Linked DNA regions of Cricetulus griseus. The protein of the gene in region 2 interacts with the protein of the main gene of each other region in a biochemical or structural test. Links are inferred from orthologs where the notes say so. Each region holds a gene or a part of one and is shown on either strand. Other genes may lie near its edges.

Region 1 (4,083 bases), about 150 Mb from region 2:
GACAGAAATGGAGTGGATCCAGAGAGAAGGGCATGTGGAGAGAAAGTAGGAGTAGTAGATGGAGGGAAAACAGTAATCAGGATATAATGTCTGGGGGTAAAAAAAAAAAAAAAAAACTATTTTCTTGTCTTTTTTTGTTTTGTTTTTGTTTTTGTTTGTTTGGTTTTGGGTTTCTTGAGCCATGATTGTCCTGGAACTTGCTCTGAGACCAGGCTGACCTCGAACTCAGAGATCAGTGCCGCCACTGCTTGGCTAAAAAGAAAATTCTATTTTTAATAAAAGGAAAAATAATTCAAACTCTATTTTACTTGCTTTGGCTAAATAGGGTTCAGGTATTTAAGTGTTGGCCCTTTAAAACCCACCACATTTTCATGTTGGACACAAAATTCTCACACCAAAAGCTTGGAAGGGGAAGGCACATAGCCTGGAAAACTCTCAAAGCCCCCAGAGAGCTAAAGACATAGGCATTTCTCTCAGTGAGCTCTTGGTGAATAGGATACCTTTGCTTCAGTGACTTTGGGTTCCTGTCAGATATTTTGCTTAGCAGACAAGGAAATCTAAAGGACAGTCATTTAGTTTAGACAGTCCACTTGTCATTTCTGTAGCACACACACATAAAAGCCTTCAGAAACACAAAACACTACAACACACACTGAACACATCCTGAGTGGGAAATAGGTAAAGCAATAGCTCCCTTTGTCCTCAAGGACTTTGTCTATAATTATGGCACATCGGAGGCATTGTGATACATGTGTCTGACACACATGCCTCCTAGGGGAAGCAGTTGCTCCCCATTCCTTGGTAGGGCTTTTGCTGTAATTATGACATATCAAGGAATTGTGACATATGCCTATGACATTCATGTACCTCATAGATGTCTGTGACTCTATGGCTACCCTAGAGACTTCAGTCAACAGAGCTAGGTCTTGTCCAGCTCTTGAAGGGCTTGCTGAGGTGGGACACCTCGGACTACTGTGGGACTTTGCACCTTTCTGCATCTGTACTTTGATTCCGAGGAGCCACGTTTTCATCTCCTCTTCAAAATGAATCTTGAAAAGTTAACTGTAACTCGGCCAAAAGCTACAGAGACAGGAGGAAGAGGGAGAGAAGGAAAAGGAGGAAAAAGAGGAGAAGATGAAGGTAGCAGAGGAGGGGGAAGAGAAGAAGGAAAAAGAGAAGAAAAAGAAAGAGATAAAGGAGGAAGAGAAGAAAGAGATGGAGGAGAAAGTGAAGAAGGAGGAGAGAGAGAAATAGAAGACTGGGAAGAGGGAGAAGAAAGGCTCATGGAAGCCAAGGAGGTCAGTCAGTGGTCCTTGGTCACACATAAGAAGCATATTAGCTCCCGCAGATTGGCCTTGGTTTCCCCGGACCTGGTGCCTGAGCCGTCACTGATATTGCTGCTGCCAGAAGGTAGGGATGTGGGGGGGGCGCTGGAGGGCGCGGGGAGTGAGCGCCAGGAGAAGGAGGCGCGGGCGGCATGCAAGGCGCGCAGGAGGAAGGAGCGCACGGGGCGGGCTTGGGGCGTGGAGAGCAGGGACTGGGGCTGGGCTAGGCAGTGCTGGCTTTTAACCTGGGCTACGGAGGCGGGGGAGGAAGGCAGAGAGAAGGGGAGGCGTGTGGGACCCAGTTGGTTAGGGGGGAATTGGAAGCAAATGACATCACCGCAGGTCCGACAAAAGGGGAATCGCTAAAAACATTGACTGGGTCCTGGATATTCAGAGGTCGAGTCCAACCTGAACGTGTCCAGACACAGACCTCAGTGCACCACGGAGACATCATGCAGAAGTCGCCTTTGGAGAAAGCCAGCTTTATCTCCAAACTCTTTTTCAGGTGAGAGGGTGCCAGGGGATCTTTGCAGGTGTGCCCATGCCAAAGAAGGGAATGCATATGGGCAGTCTTTGGGAAAACAGGAAGAGATTTTTTTGTTGTTTTCGTTTTGTTTTTAAAGGTGTGTTGTCATTCATTGTTTTAAAGGAAATGTGGATTTTATAGAATAAATTGAAGCTGATTAGATGGAGAACAAAATGTACTTGCAACTGAGAATCAGACTTGCAACACCTAAATATTTGCAGGGCAACAGTTTTCTTAATTTTTTTTCCTGAAAAATTTGTAAGATTTTCTTAATTAAAAATCCTTAAGGTTGGTTCATTGTTTTTCCCCAGGAAGCTTGTCTGCAGGTGTCATACCTGTATGTAGTAGGTGTTCAGAAAACATTTGCTGACTGAATTTTTTTGAGGAAGTATATAGTACTTTTTGCTATTGTAATATTAAGTCTGACATGCTCACCAAAAAGTAATGTAACCATAGTTACATTACTTTTTAAGAATGTGAGCAAGTCAGTTAAAATATTTATCTTTAAGCAGCAGAAATATCAAAAGCAAAGAATTTAGGAAAGCAGTAACCATGGGATATGAAGCTGGGGTTCTAGCTACTGAAGCTATATCCAACTGACACTTGGGACATTGTTCTCTTATCCTGCATTGCACAGCATGAGCCAAAACCTCAATAGAAAAGGATTTTAAAATTAGATTTTAAGTTGGGAGACCTAGGCAAGACTAATTAAGCACTTTGTATTTGACATGCTCTATGGCGCGGCTATTCTGTTCCTCTAGTGTGGATGAACGAAAAGAACAGCTCTCTCATGGGAGCTCACTTGACTCACAGCTCCTCAGGGAATCTAAACTTTAGCAAACTAAAGGACCAGAGTGTTGCATAGATTGTAAATGTGCCCTGTGGTGTGGGCAGGAGGCAAAGCTCAGCTTTCAGTCTTCTTGCCTTTGCCGCCGCCGGTGGGTCTAGAGCTCAGGACTAAGAGGACAAGTGCCTCTGTGGGAGAGCTCCTCCCAGTGGATGGGAGACAAGGTCTTTACCCTTTGGAGTTACCTTTGGTATTCACAGTGCTTTTGTTACTTCATCCATAAATTCAGCTTATCAGCCGGGATCTATTTTCCTACTACTCACAGCAACAGAGTGTTAATTGTCATAAACTGCACACTTTTATGAGATCATTTTGAGGAACCTACATGTCAGTGCCTCACGTTCTCATGAGAATGTCTCTTGTGTATTTTCCCCACTAAAGTATTAAGAAACTTAGATTGTTCATTTATCAGTGTTTCAAAAATCTCCCCTCTTATTATACAGCTCATTTATTTTAGTGTACCTTCCAAATGCTCTTAGGTTGATTTGGAAAGGAAAAATATTATAATGGCTGTGAAATTTGTTAAGCACATACTCATTTCTGTCCTTCAAACGATTTCATAATCAGTTGCTTTAAGAATAGGTGTGTTTTTAAGAGTTAAGTTCTTACTATTTATAGGCTCTGACATTCAGCTACAGTACCAGTCAGTGATTAGAAACTTCTTTCTGAACTATCCTTTTCAAAGATGAAAACCCTTTTTTTCCCATTGGACTAGGCATTTCTGCCTAGTGTCGAGGACAGTGGGCTCTGGGTTCCTATTGCCTGGTTTCAGGATTGCTTAATGGGCAAGTCCTTTCACATTTCTGTGTGACCTGACTTTTAAAACTTAGAGGCTGTCAATGTGCATATGACATAGTGGGTTAATCTGCTGAGTAGTTATGTCCTGGGCTTACTGAGGAAATGCTAGCTGCTATGGTTATTTTCTACATTTTATGTAAGACAATGAGTTTATTTCTGTTGGTTATAATTTTTGACTATCAACCTTTTTTTATGTGATGTGTATGTGTATTATATATTTGAGAAATTAATGTAAGGGATAGTCTCATCTAATATGGACTTACTAGATATTTAGGGGAAATCCATATGCTCAGATCTCCATAGATGCCTTAGAGTTTGAGTTTCTGAGTACTATCCCATCAGTTTTAGGGTATAAAAGACTAAAAAAACCTGAAGGCCATGTTTCCAATATTAGGGTCTGGGTTATGAATTATATTAAGTATCAGTTTAATTATCTAGGTTATATCACTAAAACCAAAACAAGCTTAATAAAAATATATTTTTGCAAGTGTTTACAGGAAGGAAAAGTTTGGAAGTCATTGGAAGTATTCTAACACAGAAGACAATTTTACCATGAAAATTTCAAGTATTTTGTGACTTTCACGGAA
Region 2 (4,246 bases):
CTCTAGTGGCCCAACAGGAGGGGCAGGAAGGGAGGGGACAGAAGAGGCCTTGGGAGGGAGAGCCCTTAACCTGCCACTCGAGTCTTTTCTTGGGCATCCTTACTTTACTCTGACTAGAAACTTCTGGATCAGTTATGGCCATTTTCCTTCTTCCTATCTCACTTATTATTTCAGTTTCATATGTAGATGTTATGTATTTTGATCATATCTCCTGGTTACCCTCTAGTCCTCTTCTGCTGAACCCCTACTTTCCAAACCCCTTTTCACTTATTTTTGTTGTATGCTCCACTGCATTTACCTAGTTTGCTTGCACAAGCCAGGGGTGCCCCTGTCTTTTCATTGCATTACCAATACACGAGCTAGCTCTGAGGGCTAGCTTTGTCCCTCCCTCCCTCCCTCCCTCCTTCCCTCCCTCCAGTTGTTCGAAGCCTGCCTTGCCCTGTCCTGCCTCACCTGACTCCACTAGCCCTGTACTTCTTGGAAAGTCATTTCTCCAGGGAGCTAGTCTTATTTCTCCCCAGCCCATCCCTTCTTTCCAAAGACCTCATTGTGTCATCCTATGTCTCCCAGTTCTTCCACAGCACGGCATATCACATTTTGTTTTAAAAATGTAATTATGAAAAAGATATCTTCCTAGTGATTAGCTCCTCTTATTCTCAGGTTTATCCTCAACATCTAGAATCAGAAAGGCTCATCAGATATTTGAGTGAAAGTGTGCTTCTTGGAGGTGGGTACAGCCAGAGCACATGTGTGAGAATGTCTCAATGAAACTCCTGGGGGCCAGGAAGACAGTATTTACTGTGCAAGCTTGGAGGACAGGAGTTTGGATCCCCATAAACCCTGTAAAAGGCTGGAGATAGTGGTGTGTGTCTGCAGTCCTCATGCTGGAGAGGCAGAGATGGAGGACTGCTGGACCTGCTTGCCAGCTACTTTATCAGATCTGTGAATTTGAGATCTCTATGAGAGAATCTGTCTCATTAATAAGATGGTGAAGGATTGAGAAACACACCTGACACCACCTCTGATTTCCACACACACACACACACACACACCCACACACCCACACACCCACACACCCACACACCCACACACCCACACACCCACACACCCACACACCCACACACCCACACACACACACCACCACCACCACCATCACCACCAATAATAAAAACCCAGCACATGCACAAACGAAGCCTATTATTTTGCATGGTAATTAAAAGAAGATAGATATGGCGTCTTAAACTTTCTGGACCATGTGTTTTTAGACATAACCTCTTAGGACAAGGAACAAGGATGAATTTGGTTGGAGCTACTGAAGTTAAAGCATCTGTGTTAAGTACTCATTTGAACACGAGGGTTTGAAAAGCAAGTATGGAGACTCAGGGTTTCAACGTCCAACTAGATTTCCTTGCCTGTGGATTTATCCATTTGTTTTTCATCACAGAAATGGCCTCCACCTTCAATCCCAGAGAGTGTAAATTGTCCAAACAAGAGGGGCAGAACTATGGCTTCTTCCTGCGCATTGAGAAGGACACTGATGGCCACCTGGTCCGGGTGATTGAGAAGGGGAGTCCAGCGGAGAAGGCAGGACTCCTGGATGGGGACAGAGTTCTCAGGATCAATGGTGTCTTTGTCGACAAGGAAGAGCATGCACAGGTGAATAGACACTTGGGTTCTTCCAGCCACCTCTTCAGCCTCCACATCTCTGCCCACTCTGATTTTGGGGATCAGTGGAGCTTGGTTCTCTTCTGGCTACCACTGGCAAGGTTCTATCACATTTTATGGTGACTAGTCTAATTGCTTATGATTAACTGAGAACTGTAAAACCTATTATGTGACTCAGTGGGCAAAGGTGCTTATTACCAAGCCTGATGAGCTGAGTTCAATCCCTGGGACCTGCATGTTGGAAGGAGAGAACTGATTTCCACAAGTGTCCTTGTTCATGAGCCATGGCCTATGCCCTGTTATAAAAGCAATCAATTAAAAAATGCTATACTGTGGTAGTGTCAGGTCAAACGTTCATTGCCCATTTGCCCACGCTAGACAATTTTATCTGAGTAAGCTGTAGCCCTCAGCACAAGCCTGTGAGGCATGTGTGACCGCACAGATGAGGCAGCCATGTGTAGGTGACTTAGCTTGTTAACTGTCATGTGGTGACCGCATGGGAGAGGTAGGCCTTGCCTCACTTCAGCATTGTTCCCCTTTCACTACACCACGCCACCACCCCCTAGACCTGAGAAGCCCTGTTGTCCTCTCTCAAGCTCCTTAACGCTGCGACCCTTTAACACAGTTTCTCGTGTTGTGGTGACCCATACCATAAAATTATTTTTGTTGCTACTTCATAGCTGTAATTTTGCTACTGTATGAATTGTAAATATTTGATATGCAGGGTATCTGACACATGAGCTCTATGAAAAAACTGGGTCGTTCAATCCACCAAGGGGTCATGACCCATAGGTTGAGGACCACGGCTCTAGCGCATTCGTATCTGGGAAAGACCAATCCTTGTCAGGGCTTTCTGGATTCCCACAGTGCTGGGGCCCAGTCTGATCCTCCCTGATATATTGGGAGTGTTGGGGTGAAGGTGTCCAGTACCCCTCTGCTTAGGGTATGGGTGTTGGGTCAGCTGCCAGGCACATGACAAACATCTTCCTCCTACGGTTGATGGGGGCGGGGTGGTGTGGGGGGGAGGTTAACAGGACAAGGTATCCTTTAAACACTCCCCTTTCTTCAAAGGTGGTGGATCTGGTGAGAAAGAGTGGGAATTCAGTGACTCTGCTGGTTCTGGATGGAAAATCCTATGAGAAGGCTGTAAGAAAACAGGTAGACTTGAACAACTTGGGTCAAAGCCAGAAGGAACCGGCTTCAAATGATAAGAAACCAAGCCCTTTGATGAACGGAGCTGTGGAGACGTGCGCCCAGCCACGGCTCTGCTACCTGGTGAAGGAGGGCAACAGCTTCGGCTTCTCTCTGAAAACCATCCAAGGTGAGCTTAGGGTGGGCTGAGCTCTAGCCTTCCAGAAGCCCTGTGTTGGTAACGACAGTCTTTGCAGTTGCTATGAATGTCCACAGCAATGTCACTCTCTCTTCCTTTGTCTTCAGCACGGATCCTTTCTCTGCAGTTGTACAAAGAGAGATCCAACTTTGGACAGCAGCGAGGGCTGAGTGGGGGGACTCTTTCCCTAGTGTTTGTCAGGCTGCTGTTTGAGGCCAGTGGTTCAAGGACGGATGCCTCTTCATTGTTTTGTTTGACTTGTTTTTTCTTTCTTTTTTAATTTCTTAATTTATGTTTTACATTCCAATCCCAGTTTCCCCTCCCACCTGTCCTCCTGTTCCCTCCACTTCCCCCACACCACCTCCCATCTGCACCTCGGAGAAGGGTAAGGCCTCCCCTAGGAAGTCTACTGAGATTGTTCATCATCTCGTTGAGGGAGGATCCAGGCACCTCCCCCAACCTCTGTGTCTAGGTTGAGCAAGGTACCTCTCCATATAGAATGGGCCTCACTAAGTTATTTTGTACATTAGAGTTAGATCTTGGCCCCACTGCCAGTGGCCTCATTTATTGCCCCAGCTGCACCATTGTCACCTATGTTAAGGGAGTCTAGTTCGGTCTTATGCAGCTTCCCCATTTGTCAGACCAGAGATTGTGATCTTTCGCTAGCTCGGGTCAGCTGATTCTGTGGGTTTCCCCACCATGGTCTTGACTCCTTTGTTCATATTATCACTCTTCCCTCACTTTCATTGTACTCCAGGAGCTTGGCCCAATGGTTAGTTGTGGATTTCTGTATCTGTTTCCATCTGTATCTGTAGAAGAAGGTTCTAGCTTCTCTGGGGTTGTGGGTTGTAGGCTGGTTATCTTTATGTCTGGTATCTGTTTATGAGTATGTAAATACTATATCTGTATTTCTGGGTCTGGGTTACCTCACTCAGGGTTTTTTTTCTAGTTCTGTCCATTTGCCTGCAAATTTTAGGATGCCATTGTTTCTTATCCTGAGTAATACTCCATTGTATAAATGTACATTTTCTTTATCCATTCTTCAGTTGAGGGGCAACTAGGTTGTTTCCAAGTTCTGGCTATTATGAATAATGTTACTGTGAACAAAGTTGTGTAAATGTCCTTGTGGTGTGAGTGTGCTTCCTTTGGGTATATGCCCAAAAGTGGTATTGCAGGGTCTTGAGGAAGGTTGATTCCTAATTTCCTGAGAAATCTCCATACTGATTTCCATAGTGGCTATACAAGTTTGCA
Region 3 (3,112 bases), on a different chromosome or scaffold from region 2:
CTGTCCTAGAACTCACTCTGTAGACCAGGCTGGTCTTAAACTGACAGATCCTTCTGCCTCTGCCTCCCGAGTGCTGGGACTAAAGGTGTGCGTCACCACCACCCTGCAGCCTGACAGGGTTAAGATTAAGTGAGACGGGTGTATTTTAGGGACAGAGCACAGTGAGGGGCCGAGTTTAATTCCTAGGACCAGAGAGTACAGGTAGGAGGGAGGACAGTGGCAAAGTGCTTGTCTTGAGTGTATAAGGCCCTGGGGCTGGCCTCTCGCCACTAAGGGAAGAATACACACCTTAGGGCCAGCATTTGTCAATGGTTGCTAGTGTCATTACTGTTTATCCCTACTGTGGTGGGATCCTCTGACAGGAGCATACAAACAGAACCAGAGGGACTCTCACATGCTCCCCAAATGACCTGTGCTCCAAGCAGGTGGCTAAATTTTCCCTAGCCTATTTCCTGTCACTGCCAAAGTCCCCAAGCCACATAGAGAGTAAGAGCACACGCTCTGACTGGATTGTAAGTTTATTAGAAAGGCCTTGGACAGATGAACCCTGAGTTACCAGCTGAGGAGGAAATGAAAAAGCCCTCGTCCCCCGTGGCCCACTCCCCGGTGTCCTGTGAACTCTGTCCAGTGGCAGGCAGGAAGTCTGCCGAAAAGTGCTCTCTGCCTCCTCTCCACGGGGCTGTCCGATCCGACTGCAGGGGCCCATTGTGGATGGGCAATGTGGATGCTGGTGCCTGGAGCCAAGAGCTGACAGGGCGGCGTCCTTGGCTGTAGCAGAAAGTGGTTCTAGAACCCCAGAATAGAAGGAGAGGAGCCAGCTGGGGCCAAGCTCTGCGGAATAGCCAGTGGGTGACTGAGAGGTGACACTGGGCTGTTTGGAGGCGTGTGTAGATGGCTCCACAGCCAATAGAGGGGGCAGTGCTTAGGGGAGGGCCCCAAAGCTGACCAAGGGAACCTTGGCCACACAGTCTCCATGTGACTCGGTGCTCCTCCTGGGACTGCAATGGTTAGAAAGGCAAATGGATCTTGTAAAAATCCATGGTAGAAGATGCCATTCTTTTCCCCCTAAAAAAGAGTTTGTACAGTGAATGGACTTCTCACACGGAGCCCGAGCCCAGAAGAGTCCATCCTGGGGAAGAAGGCACTTCACACCCTCTCTTGGGTGATCTGGGCTGGCTACTTCCCGGGCCCTTTCAGACTCCACTTCACTTGGTCCTGTGACCCAGGTCTGCTCTCTCTGGGAAGGACTCTGCCTCCAAGGAGTTTGTCTGCACTGTGGCTCACAGGGTGGTGGACGGCAGCTTCCTCACCCGCCGCTGGGCGAGGATAGATGACTCGATTGGCTTCAGCTGGGGGGTGGGTTTGGAGCTATTGAGTGCAGAGTACGTAGCTGCCATGGCTCCCTGGGAAAGAGGGCAGGACAGCAAACCGTGAGGGAGGGGTGGACAGACAAAACACATGCACCCCAGGGTCTGGCCCACCTAGCCCACTGTTCCTAGCCTTGGTGGTGCCTCATGGCCACTGGTTTTCCCTGGGACACAAGAATATAATGACACTGTTGCATGTGAGTCTGGGATTCCTTGGGGGCAGGGCTATGCCTTTTGCCACATCTCCTGGTTTTGGGCCCATAGAACTGCTTGGCTCTGCCACTTCAAGTTTCTGCCACAACCCCCTGGTCTGAGGCCCACCCCACCCCTCACTTTGAGCAGCCCCCGTACGCATGGCCACCTTCACAAGCTGCAGGTCTTGGTGGGACAACTGGCTCTGGGGAAGCTTGTCTTTCTGGGTGATCCATGGGTGCTGCAGGACCTGCTTGGCTGTGAGGCGCTGGTGGGGGTCCACATGGAGCATCTTAGATACCAAGTCCTGGAGACACAGTGGGCAAGGAGGTGACGGGTGGGCACTGAGGGGGCCGGCAGCTTCGCCCCACCGAGTGCCTCACTGATGGCCAACGACCGGGAGACAATCGCGTCCAGCCACCTCTGGCCTGGGCCCCTCTAAAATTCCCTGAGATCCATTCTGCATACAACAAAGCCTTCCCCTAACCGTCCAGGGTCTTCCTTCCATCTTTGCTGCTGCAGGCATTTTGGAGGACATCTTTCTCTTCTTTCCCTTTCAGAAAAGCCACATGAAAAGGTGGCTAAAGACTTGTAGGTCAAAGAGACACAGGTGTAGCATGAGTTCTAATAGGTCATAATAAAAGCCTGGAGTCAGATATAGAGGAAAATACTGAGAAATCAGACAGGAGGAGGAGCAAGCCAGAGCCACCTCTACCTCACTCACTTCCCAGGGGAAAAGAGAGTTCCTGTTTCCTCCCACTTATATTCCTTTCTCTGCCCAGCCATCTCACTTCCTGTCTGTCTGTGTGAAGTCCAGACCTCAATGGTTAGCTAGTGGCAAGTTCCACCCTCTGATTTTCAGACACGTTTTATTTGAGCCATCAAGATATCACCATACACAGGTTCAAATTTGACTCTTCCTGGGGTGAAATGTAGCCGAGCGGTTGGGCGCTTGCCTGGCACCCACCAGGCGCTGAGTTCCATCTCCAGTGTGATGTAGAACAAAAACTAAGAGAAAAATCCATGAAAAAAACATGCCAGGTATTTTAATCCCAGCACCTGGGAGACAGAACCAGGGGGACCAAGAGTTCAATAGCAGCCTCGGCTACGTAGGCTTGAGGGCCAGCAAGGGCTGGGAAAGACCATCTTCAATGTAAAAGTCAAGCTCAGTGCTCACCACTCTCCCCGAGGCCTGGAGTTCAGTTCCCAGCACTTGGTAGGAGGCTCACAACAGATGCAAACCCAGCTCCAGGTGGCCCTGTGCCTTCTGGCCTCTGTGGGCACCTGGACTCACTCACATGCACATTCCCACACACATATAATTAAAAATAAAAATAAGGCTGGGGGTGGTGGTGCACAACTTTAATCCCAGTAGTGGGGAGGCAGAGGCCATATCTGGATGAGTTTAATGCCAGCCTGGCCCACAGACCTAGTTGTAGGATAGCCTAGACTATGCAGTGAGACCAAACAAACCAAACCAAACTCTGAAAGTTACAGACCCTCAAACAAATAAAAATCCTAAACTCAGCTCTTCTACTCACCAGCCTGAGTAT
Region 4 (4,194 bases), on a different chromosome or scaffold from region 2:
CGCAGATAACAGATAAGGGCCCTTTGAAGGGTGGCCCAGTTTCTGCTTGTGCACAGTTGGGCACTGGTTTCTTCTGTCAAGTTGGCCACACAATTCCCTCCCTATCAAGCTTAGTGCCCTAATGTGCGCAGAGGGCCCTCGTGCTGTAGGTAATGCTGGAAGGAAACTAGAACCATGCTCCTGTCCCAGTTAGGAGTGGTCTTCCATCACACGCTTCTGAGTGAACCACAGAGGGTGTGAGCACTTGGCAGCCCCCTTTCAGGTAGGAAGATCTGATCTACCTATCTGATTTGAGACTGGGGACACTCCTCCGAGGCTTCCTGGGGAGCAGGAAGGTGCTCTAGGGCAACCTCAAAGATGGGTACTCCTGCTAGGAGGAGAGTGCTCTGGGATGAAAGGGCAGTTGCTCTGTTTGGGTGACACGGCACAGACAGAGGCACGGGGCAGGCAGGCAGTCTTGGCACCTCGGGTTAAGCTGCCTCTTTAGCAGGGTGAAGAAAGGTGTCTCTGTAGAGTGTGGGCCACACGAAGAGAGAGGTAGAAGCCTGTGAGGCTTCCTGCCTTGTGCTCTGACCACTCCTGATGTTTGCACTCAATACCTTGTAGAAGTCCAGGCACATAGTAGGTGCTGAAGAAACCATAGGGCCATATACAAGTTTAGTGTGCTCAGGGAAAACTGCAGGGCTGACACTGCACCTCCAAGTGACACTGTGTCTCCAAGTAACATTGGGCCCTGGATATGACAGATCTCTTAAGTGACCACATAATGTATTAAATCTGAAATCAGGCTCAGTTGGCTCAACCCCTGTGGCCAGTGCTTGGCAACTGTGTGTGCTCAGTCCAAGTTACTCAACCTTTCTGAGTGTAAGGTTCCTTTTCTCTAAAGCGGGAACCAAAATCCTTGCTGAATCTATTGTGATGACCGGATGAGGCTGAGCACCTAGAATTGTGCCCAACATGAAGTGGACATCCACACGAATCAGCTGTTATTATTACGGTTTGTTGTTCATCGTTACCGCCTTAAGAACAGCGATGGGAACTAGTGACCCCACGTCCTCCTGAGCCCTGACTCCACTTATCTGGGGTGTTACTAGTCAGTAATTCTATTACTTTCTGGCACAGTCATACTCATGCCATGATTTTATAAGTTGCCAAGTCTATAATCTGTCACATGATGGGGGCCTTGGCCATGGGAACCTAGCCCCTCCTTACTTCTGGCATGAGGCATGTGCAAGGCCCCCAAAGGTTTCAGCACAGTGCCAGCCACTCGGGCCAGACGCCCATCCATCTGTCCCGGGCCCTCCACCCCACTCTCACCATCTGTCTCTGCCAATGCCCATCAGATGACAAATGGCCAGAGCGGAGGCCACTGTGGAAGGTGATGGATTGCATCCTATGGAGCCAGGCAGGCTGGGAGGGGGTGGGGCATCCAGCACAAATCACGGAAGAATGAACATCATCCCTCACAGCCTGCTGCCTCCAAGGACAGGTGACACCTGTGTGGCTCCAGGGTGTCACTTCTCTTGAATAGGAGCAAGTTAATGGAGCCTGACCTGGCCTGGGGTGGAGAGGAGGGACGGGGACCTTTCCTCCAGGCATCCTCCCTGCCTGTCCTTGGCTGCCACTGCTGATAGGCTGAGAGCAACGCACTCCCTGCTCAACCCAGCCAGTGGGTAGTCCAATGCTGGGACGGCCAGGGCCTTCTTCACCTTGGTGAGTCCTTCTGCCAACTTAGCCACTGGTGTTCAATCACTGACTGCTCTATCTCTAGGCTCACTTAAAAACCCCTCCTTCAGGAAGGCTTCTGGGATTTGCCCTACCCCTATCCTAGCCTCCCTGACACCCTCCGTTGTAGTAAGCAAGCAATCGTAGGGTGTACTTTCTCTTTCTCCTAGGTGCACAGTAAGTACTTTGAAAAAGCTACCCATGATTATACCCAGTAGCTGTCTGGATGTTACAGCTTATGAAACAAACCTGCAAAACTCAGTGCATTTAACCTCAGGATCCCCCTCCCTCAATTTGGGCAAAGCAAAGCCCAAAGAAGTCCAGGGCATCATCTTCCTGTGAGTACCAGTATTGGGAACTGAACCCGGGTCCTCTAGAAGAACGCGCAGTGCTCTTAACCACTGTGTTATCTCTCCAGCCCCTTACCTAGAATTTTCTATTGGGCAGGTATTGAGCATCACCAGGGAGCCAGACTGCCTTTGCAACCCAGGCTCTAGCACTTAGTGCTTGTCTGTGCCTCAGTTGCCTTTGGAGTCAGATGGGTGACAGGATCTCAAATCCCTGGTGCTAGCAGCATGTAGCCTTACTCTCCAGCATATTTAGCAACAGCAGCAGCCTTGGACCTTTTGCCAATATCCTCAGCAGTGAGGCCTGGAGGGCTTTCCCCTGTTGCCCCCTGGGATGGTGACCACAAGGCACCTTTGCTGAGTGTGTTTCCTGTGCCCACAGACGAGGCTCCTGGATAACTACAGGCCCCTTTACCCTCACTGACTCCAGTTCCAGAGATTTTTCTATACAGGTCGCTGCTCAGAGCTCTAGGGAAGGAGATCCTGTGGGAACCTGGGAGCTAAGGGGCAGGGATGACTCACCAGAGACATTGCTGGCCAGGGACAGGCTCTCACAGCGCTGGTCTTGCAGGGAGGTGGAGACAGGGTTCAGCCCCAGGAGGAGAAGGGCCTGTGGACACAAGGGGGTACAGGACACTGTTAGGGGGGTACTCATCAGTCTGAGCTGATGATTCTTGCCCCCCCTCCTCTGCCCAGCATCCTACCCTTGCCCAGTCTCCTGGTCCCATCCAGAATGTTTGAAATTGCCTGGTTCACGCAGGGCCTGGAATGGAGGCACAGACCCCAAACATGTCTAACGCGGTCGCTCCAAGTGCATGCACACACATTTGCACACAACCCTCCACCTTCCTTACCTCTGTGGTATTTCAGGCCCGTGGTTATGAGCTCCTCCTGAGCCTTCATCCCTGTCAATGACTACCAGTCATTGCAAATTGAGCCTCATGTTTCAAGCTCTTCCGATGTCCTGCGATATCTACAATGGCTTAATTCACCCCGGGGACAGCATGGATATGGCTACTGAAGATGGGGAAACTGAGGCGCTAAAGAAATGATTGTGTCTGGGAAGATGGGTCACCTATTCCAGGGAAGGCCTTTAACCCTACTGAGGGCCCAGTGTTACTCTGACTCCAGGGTTTCAGCCATGAGTCCTATGACCGGAAGACGATCCCTTCTTGAATGAACAGCCCCACCCCAACAATGATGAGCACTTTCTTGGGTTACTATCCTCTCTACAGGTGGGAGTCTGGATGAGTGGGCCATGTGACCTCTCCGGGCCTCAGTGTCCTTGCTCTAAAGCAAGTGCAGGCCTCCCCTGTGTCTGTGCTTACACTGTATTCATTCTGGCAATGAGGCTAATGAATGATGTTTTTGGGTACACAATGGGCGCTCAATGAGGATTTACATACTCAGTAGTTGTTAGCTGACCTAACTAGGGAGGTGGAGATGGGCTGGGGCCTCGTCTGTTGGGATTCATTCTGCAAATGGGGTCCAGAAGCATGTGGGGTGGGAGAGGGGAACTACGACAGGCTGTCTTTTCTCCACTGGGGACCTAACCACCGTGAGAAGAATCCCCAGGTAGGATGGCAACCCTGGGAGTGTTCTCCACATAGTCACCCCACTCTGCTCTCCTGTTCCCTCTTTAGGGGTCCTAGGATCAAGAGGATTATCAATAAGGACCACCACATCCAGCTTGAGAAGCAAATGGAGCCCTAGTTTTAATTTGACTGTGGATGGGCTAAGTCAGTCTCTCTCTCTCTCTCTCTCTCTCTCTCTCTCTGTGTGTGTGTGTGTGTGTGTGTGTGTGCATGTGTCCCCATCTGTCTATCTGTCCATCTGTCTGGCTCCCTTCAGGGGCCAGTCCCCCCAGCCTCACCAGTACTCACTTCCCCTTCTGTCATATATTGATGACAAAGGCAGGCTCTTCTGCCTTCTTTCCCACCATGCATTTGTATTCCTGACCACAGCCTGGACCCACTCCCATAAGAGCCATCCCTAATCCTGGTGACTTACAGAGCCACACTATACCCTTAAGTCCTTAGTGGGCTTTCATCCATTCCCCCACCTCAGGCACCCTCCCTCCATCTCACCCCAGGACTCTTACTGACACAAGTATGAAACTCAA
Region 5 (3,991 bases), on a different chromosome or scaffold from region 2:
GAGCATGGAGGCGAGCACTGTGTTTGGTGAGGGAGAGGGCGACCTGTGTTTGATGCCGAGACAGTGAGAAGCAAGTTGGTATTGAGCAGCCATATCCTGACTCAGAATTGGCTGAGACAGGGCCAGGAGAAGTCAGGTACAATGGGGTCAAAGGGCCCAGGGATCAGTGGCTAACAGAGGGGCTGACAGGAGGGGCTTGGTGATGTTGGAGACACTGGGCAGGGAGTGGTGAAGCTGTTTGAGCAGGAAGGCAATACAGCTGGGGGAGGAGGCAGGAGGGAATGTGTGTGACGTGGAAAGATGCCGTGATGGTGAGGCACCCTGGTAGCCTTGTAATTCTGTAACCACTGGAGTCCTTATTGCATCCAGGCCTGGTTCACGGGTGAGGCTGAGGAGGGGCCATGGGACAAAATGGTAGGAAGGGCAACAGAGTCCCTCCCAATCCAGCAGCCTTCTCAGGGGCTACAGAACAGGAGGTCCCCAAACTCACAGAGGAAGGAGACAGGGAGGCCACCAGCTTTCTGGTACAGGTAGTGATCTAGGTGGCCTGGCTATACATGCCACAGCTACCACATTGTCCTTTACAGCCTCCATTGACCTCAGCTACTCTGAGACTGAAGCTTACCATTCCACTGAAGCCACCCCCTTAGACAGAGGACAGGGAGGGTTATACAATGGGGGTTCACAATCAGCAGCCCCCTCACCCACCCATCCACTTCAGGTGGCTTCCAGAATCAGCACGCTGGCTTCTCACAGTGGGCAAGGTGGACCAAGGCCTGAAGGAACTACAGAGGGTAGCTGCTATCAACAGGAAGAAGGCAGAGGGAGACACATTGACCATGGAAGTAAGGCAGAGCTGGGCCTTCCCTCAACTCTGTCCCCTATCCCTCAGATCTTCCCCCTTGGAGGTCAAGTGAGGGCCCTGGCTCTTGAAGGAGGGCTCCTAAAGGAGGGCCTGTGGGTAACAGGTGCTAACAGCCCCCACTCCCACAGGTCTTGCGGTCAGCCATGGAGGAGGAACTAAGTGGGAACCAAGCTCATGCCGGTGTGGGCACCCTACTCCATACACCTGGGCTGCGCCTCCGAACCGTCATCTCCATGCTGTGCTGGTAGATGCCCTTCTACCCAGGCTACCAACTGTAGGAAAGTCTGAAGTTAGGCCAGGGATGGGGCCACTAGCTAGAGGTATCTCTAGGATGACCTTTATCTCAGGGACCTTGCTATCTATAGTCAGGCTCCCAGATGAGACAAGCAAGGCTGAGTGGGCTGGTGAGCAAGGATTATAGGCCTGAACACCCAGAGGAGATTGAGTGAGTAAGATAAGTATGATGGCGATGCTGGAAAAGCTGGAGAGGTGAATCAGACACGAAGCAGACAGGCAGGCTGCTCCATCTCATTTAGAGGCACCAGGCATAGATGGGCTATTGCTCCAACTTGGAAGCCTAGGCCACCCAGCAAAGATCAAATCCACAAAGACTGTAGGGAGGGACTGTTCAGTAGAATCTAGAGCCAATGAGACAGCACCCTAAACGGAGTGCCGAGCTGAAAGAGAAGTGCCTAAAGTGGGCCTGGGAAAGGCCCACAGGGCAGGCAGAAGAACAGCCACCCCAGGCTGATTCACCCATTCTCCCAGGTTTTCCTTTGGCTTCACCTTCTATGGCCTGGCCCTCAACCTGCATGCCCTAGGAAGCAATATCTTCCTGCTCCAAGCGCTCATCGGGGTTGTGGACTTCCCAGTGAAGGTAGTCAGCCTGCTGCTGCTCAAATACCTGGGCCGACGTCTCTGCCAGGCCAGCTCCCTGGTGCTGTCAGGACTCTGCATCCTGGCCAACATACTGGTGCCCCACGGTGAGCTGCAGCTAGGCTTCGGGTGAGCCAGAGGAGGCAAAAATGTGGTGTGGGAGCTGAGGTGCTTCTCCCCTGGGCTGGGGAGTGTAGAACTAAGATAGAGAGTGAGGGACCACAACAGAGGACACTTAGGAAAGAGGCTGTTGGGGGTGTGGAGGAGAATGGCCAGGAATAGAGCAGTGATAGGATGGTAGGATTTTAGGGGAGATCAGGAAAGCCATTATGCTAACACAGAACTCAGTAATAGATTAGGTTGGGAGAGAAAGGGAGGCAAGGAAGACTCCTGGGGTAAGGCTCTAAAGGGCTGGAAGGTGGGTAGATTGGGGACACAGTGTGGACACTGGAGGGATGATTCAGACATTTGACAGACCAGCCTATAGGACAGGAGCAGCGCAGGGAATATAGGATGCCAGCCTCTGCTGATGCTGTCACTGTTCACAGAGATAGAGGTTCTTCGTTCATCCCTGGCTGTGATGGGGCTGGGGTCACTGGGGGCTGCCTTCACCTGTGCCACCATCTTCAGCAGTGAACTCTTCCCCACTGTGCTCAGGTGAGGCTGTCATGGGCTCAAGGAGAGAGTACTGTAGCTAGAGGGGAAAGCTGCCCCCAGATCCCCATGGGTTTCCCTTCCACATGGTCTCAGGGCTTTCGAATTAAGCCTCCACCCTGCCTGGTCCACTGGGCATCCCTGGCCTAGGGAGTTGGGCCAGACCAGAGGTCAAGGTCCAAGGCAGACAGAGTTTGACTGACAGGCAAATGTGCCTCCACAGGATGACAGCAGTGGGCCTGTGCCAGATAGCAACCAGAGGGGGAGCCATCATAGGGCCTCTGGTGCCATTGCTAGGCATCTATGGCTCCTGGCTGCCCCTGCTGGTGTATGGAGTGGTGTCTGTGCTAAGTGGCCTGGCTGCACTGCTGCTACCTGAGACCAGGAACTTGCCACTGCCTGACACCATTCAAGACATCCAGAAACAGTGAGTGGACCAGCCTGCAAACCCCCTCTCCCTCCCTCCCTTCCCTTCTCCCTCCCTCCCTCCCTCCTTCCCTCTCTCTCTCCTTCCCTCCCTCCCTCCCATAGAAGCCCCAAAACAGGGTGGCTTAGGAACTGACTCCTCTCACTGAACAAAGGGAAAAGCAAAAGCCAGGGAAGGCCCAGGATAGCCCAGAGTTACACAGCATACTGGGAGAGTGGAGACCCAGATGAACAGGCAAATTCTAACCCTCTTCCCTTCATCCCACCATGTGGAGGAATGAGTAACCCAGCCATTGACAGGTCTACCTTGAAAGAGGCAGGGAGAGAGGTCGGAGGAGAGACAGAGTGCTTGTGAGCAAGCTGGCCTTTGTCGGGGAGAGGTCCTGGGGTGTGGTGGGTGTTGCTGGGGTCTTCACAGGCAGGAGACCCCGCCACTAAAGCCATCAGGTGGTTGACAAGGTTATCAACACCCATCCCATCTTGATATGCTCAGTGATCTCAGACTTGAGCCCCAGGCAGGATGTTCAGTTCTCAGCATGGACATGGGTCAAGGATCAGGGGTCACTCTATTCCTTAGAGTCACACTTCTCTGTTTTTCCTGAACAGATCAGTGAAGAAGGTGACAGGTGACACAGCAGGCCAGTCCATCCTGATTTCTACACGGCTGTAGCCTCCTGGAGAGTCTATGATAAGACTGGAGAAGAAGGGCCATGATGGAGGAGGAGAAGAAAGAGAGGGAGAGAGAAGGGGAAGGGTAGAGCTGGCAATGGCGGGTAAAGGCGCCTGCCTCCAAGCCTGATCATACGAATTCCAGTCCTGAAACCCACATGATGGAAGGAGAGAACTGACTCCACAAAGCCGTCCCCAGACCTCCACATGGACACAAGTCCCCCCCCCATGACACACACAAATAAATAATTTATAAAAGAGACAGAGAGAGAGAGAGAGAGAGAGAGAGAGAGAGACAGAGAGAGAGAGAGGGAGGGAGGGAGGGAGAGAGAGAGAGAAAAGGAGAATGAAAAGGAGAAAGGAAAAAGGAATAGAAGGAGAAGGAAAGAGGGAGAGGGAATAGGAGGAGGAGGAAGAGAGAATAGGAGGAGGAAGAGAGAATAGGAGGAGGAGGAAGAGAGAGCAGGAAGAAGGGGAGGAGGAAGAAGAGGAGGGGATGAG
Region 6 (3,500 bases), on a different chromosome or scaffold from region 2:
ACAAGACCCGGATGATCAGGAGGTAGCAGATGGTGAGTGTGACAAATGGAAGCAGGAAGCCTGCCACTAATGCAATGTGGTTCATGATCAGTAGCTTACTAAACTTTTGGGGAGTCAGCTCCAGGCACAATATAATGTTGTCCTTCTTCTCATAGCCATTCTTCAGAAGCATCGCTGAGGAAGCCATGATAAAAATCCATATGACCCCACAGAGGATCCAGGCACTCCTGACGCTGGTGACATGGAGCTGTTGAAAAGGGTGGACAGTGGCCAGGAAACGCACAACACTCAGCACAGTTAAAAAATAAATGCTAGTGTACATGTTGACATATAAGGAATAAGACATGATTCTGCAGGCTAGATCCCCAAATATCCAATTGGACTCTCTGAAATAATAGTCCGCCCTGAAGGGCAGGGTGCTTATGAACAGGAAATCTGAAATGGCGAGGTTGAGCATGAAAACATTCACAGAGGTGGACTTCTTGTAAGTCTGTAGGAAGACATATATGGAAAAGCCATTTCCCAAGGCTCCCCAGACAAATATGATCAGATATATGATGGGATAAAATTCTTTCTTGAAGCTTTCTATTGTACAGTTCCTGTCACTATTATTGCTGAAGGCCCCAGTTGGTTCCATTTCTGATATGGAGTTGGACAGAGGCTAAGACATAAGTTTTCTCTCTATATTGGATTAGAAGAAATAAACACAAAAATTACTTTGTTCAATGCCACTTTTTTTTGATCATTGATTGAACGTTTGCAGCATTCATTCTCACTTGGAGAGAAGCAAGTTCCTCTGACACCCTCTTCTGACCTCTACAGGCATCAGGCATACTCATGGTGGACCTACCATCATGCAAAACATCCATGCCATAAAATAAAAACATAATTTTTTAAAAGAATAGACAAATAAAGTTCCCAAGCAGGAGGTGATATATGAAAAAGCAGCCTTAGAATATTAGAAAAAAAGGAAAGAGAATAATGAGCAAAAGAATGCAAGAACAGCATCTTCCCATCCCATTTTCAAATTCAAGTTATACTTGATCCTTGAAACGAAAACTGTAATACTGTCTGATATGGCTTTAAGTAAATGTAGAAGAGTAATTGACTAGTGTATCTGCATGAGGGGAAATAAAGATATATGAAGGGGGTTAATATTGTATACCCAATTTGAACTGACAAACTGTGCTGAGAGATTGTGATAAGAGTATTTGCATGATGTAATAGCATAAACTAAAAAAAACTATACAAAGATATATCCTAAAACATTAAAGATAAATTAAAATAAAATTTTTAAAGAGTTCAGGTATCAGGTAACCAATATGAAGGCAGTGAAAAGAAAACAAGTAATATAAACAGAAAAATCAGGGATTTATAACCCCAATATATTGAATATACACTAAATATCAATGGTCTAAACGAAAGACCTATCTAGATACTGCTCTCAAGAAACTCACCTCAGATAGCAATATTGACAGGTACAGAGAAAAAGGAAACAAAGGTAAGTTACTCAAATCAAACCAAATTAGAAATGGCTCTAGATTTAAGAGCAAAGAAAATTACCAGAAAACATAAAATAAAGGAATATTCTCTACTGATAAAATAACTTCTCTACTATGAAGACCCCCGAGTTCTAATGGGATGTACCAAGCAACAGAGCTATGATAAGTGAAGCAGAACTGACAGAATTGGGCGGCAAATCCACAGTTATATTAGTGACCTGAAGACAACCCCACAGGCACCGATAGAGAGTAAATAGGCAAACACACACAAACAAAACCACCAAGAAACTAAAAGCATCTACACCAACATGGAACTGGCATCAACACAACAGTTCATTCCACACGAGCAGCACATGCTGTCTTCTCAAGTCCCCACAGAACATACACATTGCCCCCACAATTGCCCTACCTACAGCCAAGTCTTGTCTTCTCCTTTGGGAACCAATGATTTTAACCAGGATCTTTGTGTGACCACTGGCTTGAAACAATCCATCAAAACCTGGTGGCTTCACAACTGAAGACAACAGGCTACCTCACCTCTAAAATCCATCAGTAGCCAGTTGTTTGGCAGAGAGAAGTAGGGCTATAAGACTCTGTAGAATCTGTGGCTGGCTATTGACAAACCCAGTCTCATATAGGCCCCATGCACCCATTCATAGCTACTGTGAGCTGGAGTTTCCAGTGGTTTTGTCATACCTAGAAGACAGTCATTTGTAGCCCTTCCCCCTCTCTTCCTACTCTCACATTGCCCCATCCCCTGTGTTCTCTCCACTCCCTAGCTCCCCTCTGAGCTTCAGGCCAATGCTCCAATATCCTATTTGGGGCTAAGTGCTCAGTTGTCACATAGTGTCAGCAGCTCAAATAGCCATGGATCCCTGCTTTTAATGCAAAGAGAAGCTTCTCTGAGTAATGATGAGGTTAGCATCTCTCTAGCTCAGGTGGCTGGTAGGGTAGTATATGTGTGCCAAACATTTTAAAAATACCAGCTATTTGAATATATGTACCCATCTAGATATATAAACATAAAGGCATATTATTAAAAGATCTGCTGTAGATCATTATATAAACAATGTACAGAACAAGTAAAGTTAGAATTTGGGTCTTTATGTAAAATAATTCTTATTTTTATACCCATGAGTAATTTTTGTCAATAAAAGTTATTTTTGTCTTCTTTAACATCCTTTTAAGTTGTTTTCAGAAAGATCCCTTGCTTTCCCAAAAATCAAAGTTAAGCTCCTAGCAACTATTGTTAATTGTGGTTGTACAATGTTGGCAATAATTATTTCTTGACTTTAGATAGGTAGGACTTACATCTTGTCTCTTGAACAACTACTCGACCCTTACTTTCCCAAATCCAGGCCCAAAAACTAGAATAAGAAGGCCATCATATGTCTTTTGGAGCTCAAAGTGTCTTCAGGTTGCTACAGGTGGCCTCTAACAGATGGTCTCCTTCATCCTAGGACAAGAAAGACAATGTGGTTAGTCAGATTTCTAAATATCCTTTGAATTTTAATGAACTTCAAACTAATATGAGCATCCTTTTGTCTATTCGGCTTAGTCATAAAAAGCTGATAAATAAAAATAAAAGTTGACTATGTTTAAGTAAAATATGTCAATAAAAATATATTCCAAGGGTTACACTTTTGTTTGGGTTTTAAAAAGTGGAGAAAGAGATTACAAGGCCCCATCCCCTAGCCAAGAGTTATTGGCAGTTGATGAGCTGGAGGAAGAGGGACTCAGTTTTTTTCTTAGGCTCCTCTAAGTTGCCCATTTCCAGTGGATGGCCTTGCATGCCTGTGCAGACAGCACTAACTGGACTTAATGGGCTGTAAAGAAAAAAAAAGATATGAACTTGAGAGGGAGATGAGGGGCTTCTGGGAGGAGCTGGGGAGGAGTGTGGAGGAAATATGATCAAAATACATTGTATATGTTAATAAAATCCTCTGAGAATAGATAATTAAAATTAAATACTAAAAAAATTGATAGAAGCATGTTTAT

Evidence for each region.
Region 1: the proteins of Pdzk1 (region 2) and Cftr form a complex in vitro, tested with the Homo sapiens proteins (2 studies listed by BioGRID and IntAct, with this or other methods). The link is inferred for Cricetulus griseus from reciprocal best matches to the Homo sapiens genes PDZK1 and CFTR.
Region 3: the proteins of Pdzk1 (region 2) and Rps6ka1 interact in a test that uses a peptide from one of them, tested with the Homo sapiens proteins (2 studies listed by BioGRID and IntAct). The link is inferred for Cricetulus griseus from reciprocal best matches to the Homo sapiens genes PDZK1 and RPS6KA1.
Region 4: the proteins of Pdzk1 (region 2) and corticotropin-releasing factor receptor 1 form a complex in vitro, tested with the Homo sapiens proteins (2 studies listed by BioGRID and IntAct, with this or other methods). The link is inferred for Cricetulus griseus from reciprocal best matches to the Homo sapiens genes PDZK1 and CRHR1.
Region 5: the proteins of Pdzk1 (region 2) and Slc22a12 form a complex in vitro, tested with the Homo sapiens proteins (2 studies listed by BioGRID and IntAct, with this or other methods). The link is inferred for Cricetulus griseus from reciprocal best matches to the Homo sapiens genes PDZK1 and SLC22A12.
Region 6: the proteins of Pdzk1 (region 2) and Cysltr2 interact in a test that uses a peptide from one of them, tested with the Homo sapiens proteins (2 studies listed by IntAct, with this or other methods). The link is inferred for Cricetulus griseus from reciprocal best matches to the Homo sapiens genes PDZK1 and CYSLTR2.

The regions. Positions count from the first base shown.
Region 1 is NW_023276806.1:208,423,448-208,427,530, reverse strand, and holds the start of Cftr (cystic fibrosis transmembrane conductance regulator), read left to right. Parts: upstream 1-1,283; coding exon 1,284-1,626; intron 1,627-1,721; coding exon 1,722-1,830; intron 1,831-4,083. UniProt on the Homo sapiens protein: Epithelial ion channel that plays an important role in the regulation of epithelial ion and water transport and fluid homeostasis. Mediates the transport of chloride ions across the cell membrane.
Region 2 is NW_023276806.1:59,644,402-59,648,647, reverse strand, and holds the start of Pdzk1 (Na(+)/H(+) exchange regulatory cofactor NHE-RF3), read left to right. Parts: upstream 1-1,446; coding exon 1,447-1,656; intron 1,657-2,736; coding exon 2,737-2,986; intron 2,987-4,246. UniProt on the Homo sapiens protein: A scaffold protein that connects plasma membrane proteins and regulatory components, regulating their surface expression in epithelial cells apical domains.
Region 3 is NC_048595.1:19,428,253-19,431,364, reverse strand, and holds the end of Rps6ka1 (ribosomal protein S6 kinase alpha-1), read right to left. Parts: intron 1,867-3,112; coding exon 1,729-1,866; intron 1,404-1,728; coding exon 1,281-1,403; 3' UTR 501-1,280; downstream 1-500. UniProt on the Homo sapiens protein: Serine/threonine-protein kinase that acts downstream of ERK (MAPK1/ERK2 and MAPK3/ERK1) signaling and mediates mitogenic and stress-induced activation of the transcription factors CREB1, ETV1/ER81 and NR4A1/NUR77, regulates translation through RPS6 and EIF4B phosphorylation, and mediates cellular proliferation, survival, and differentiation by modulating mTOR signaling and repressing pro-apoptotic function of BAD and DAPK1.
Region 4 is NC_048600.1:117,186,997-117,191,190, reverse strand, and holds the start of corticotropin-releasing factor receptor 1, read right to left. Parts: upstream 2,801-4,194; coding exon 2,777-2,800; intron 2,683-2,776; coding exon 2,595-2,682; intron 1-2,594.
Region 5 is NC_048596.1:52,814,972-52,818,962, forward strand, and holds the end of Slc22a12 (solute carrier family 22 member 12), read left to right. Parts: intron 1-721; coding exon 722-845; intron 846-993; coding exon 994-1,109; intron 1,110-1,633; coding exon 1,634-1,848; intron 1,849-2,289; coding exon 2,290-2,398; intron 2,399-2,618; coding exon 2,619-2,822; intron 2,823-3,427; coding exon 3,428-3,491; downstream 3,492-3,991. UniProt on the Homo sapiens protein: Electroneutral antiporter that translocates urate across the apical membrane of proximal tubular cells in exchange for monovalent organic or inorganic anions. Involved in renal reabsorption of urate and helps maintaining blood levels of uric acid.
Region 6 is NW_023276807.1:227,520,588-227,524,087, forward strand, and holds part of Cysltr2 (cysteinyl leukotriene receptor 2), read right to left. Parts: intron 2,959-3,500; 5' UTR 2,814-2,958; intron 682-2,813; 5' UTR 638-681; coding exon 1-637. UniProt on the Homo sapiens protein: Receptor for cysteinyl leukotrienes. The response is mediated via a G-protein that activates a phosphatidylinositol-calcium second messenger system.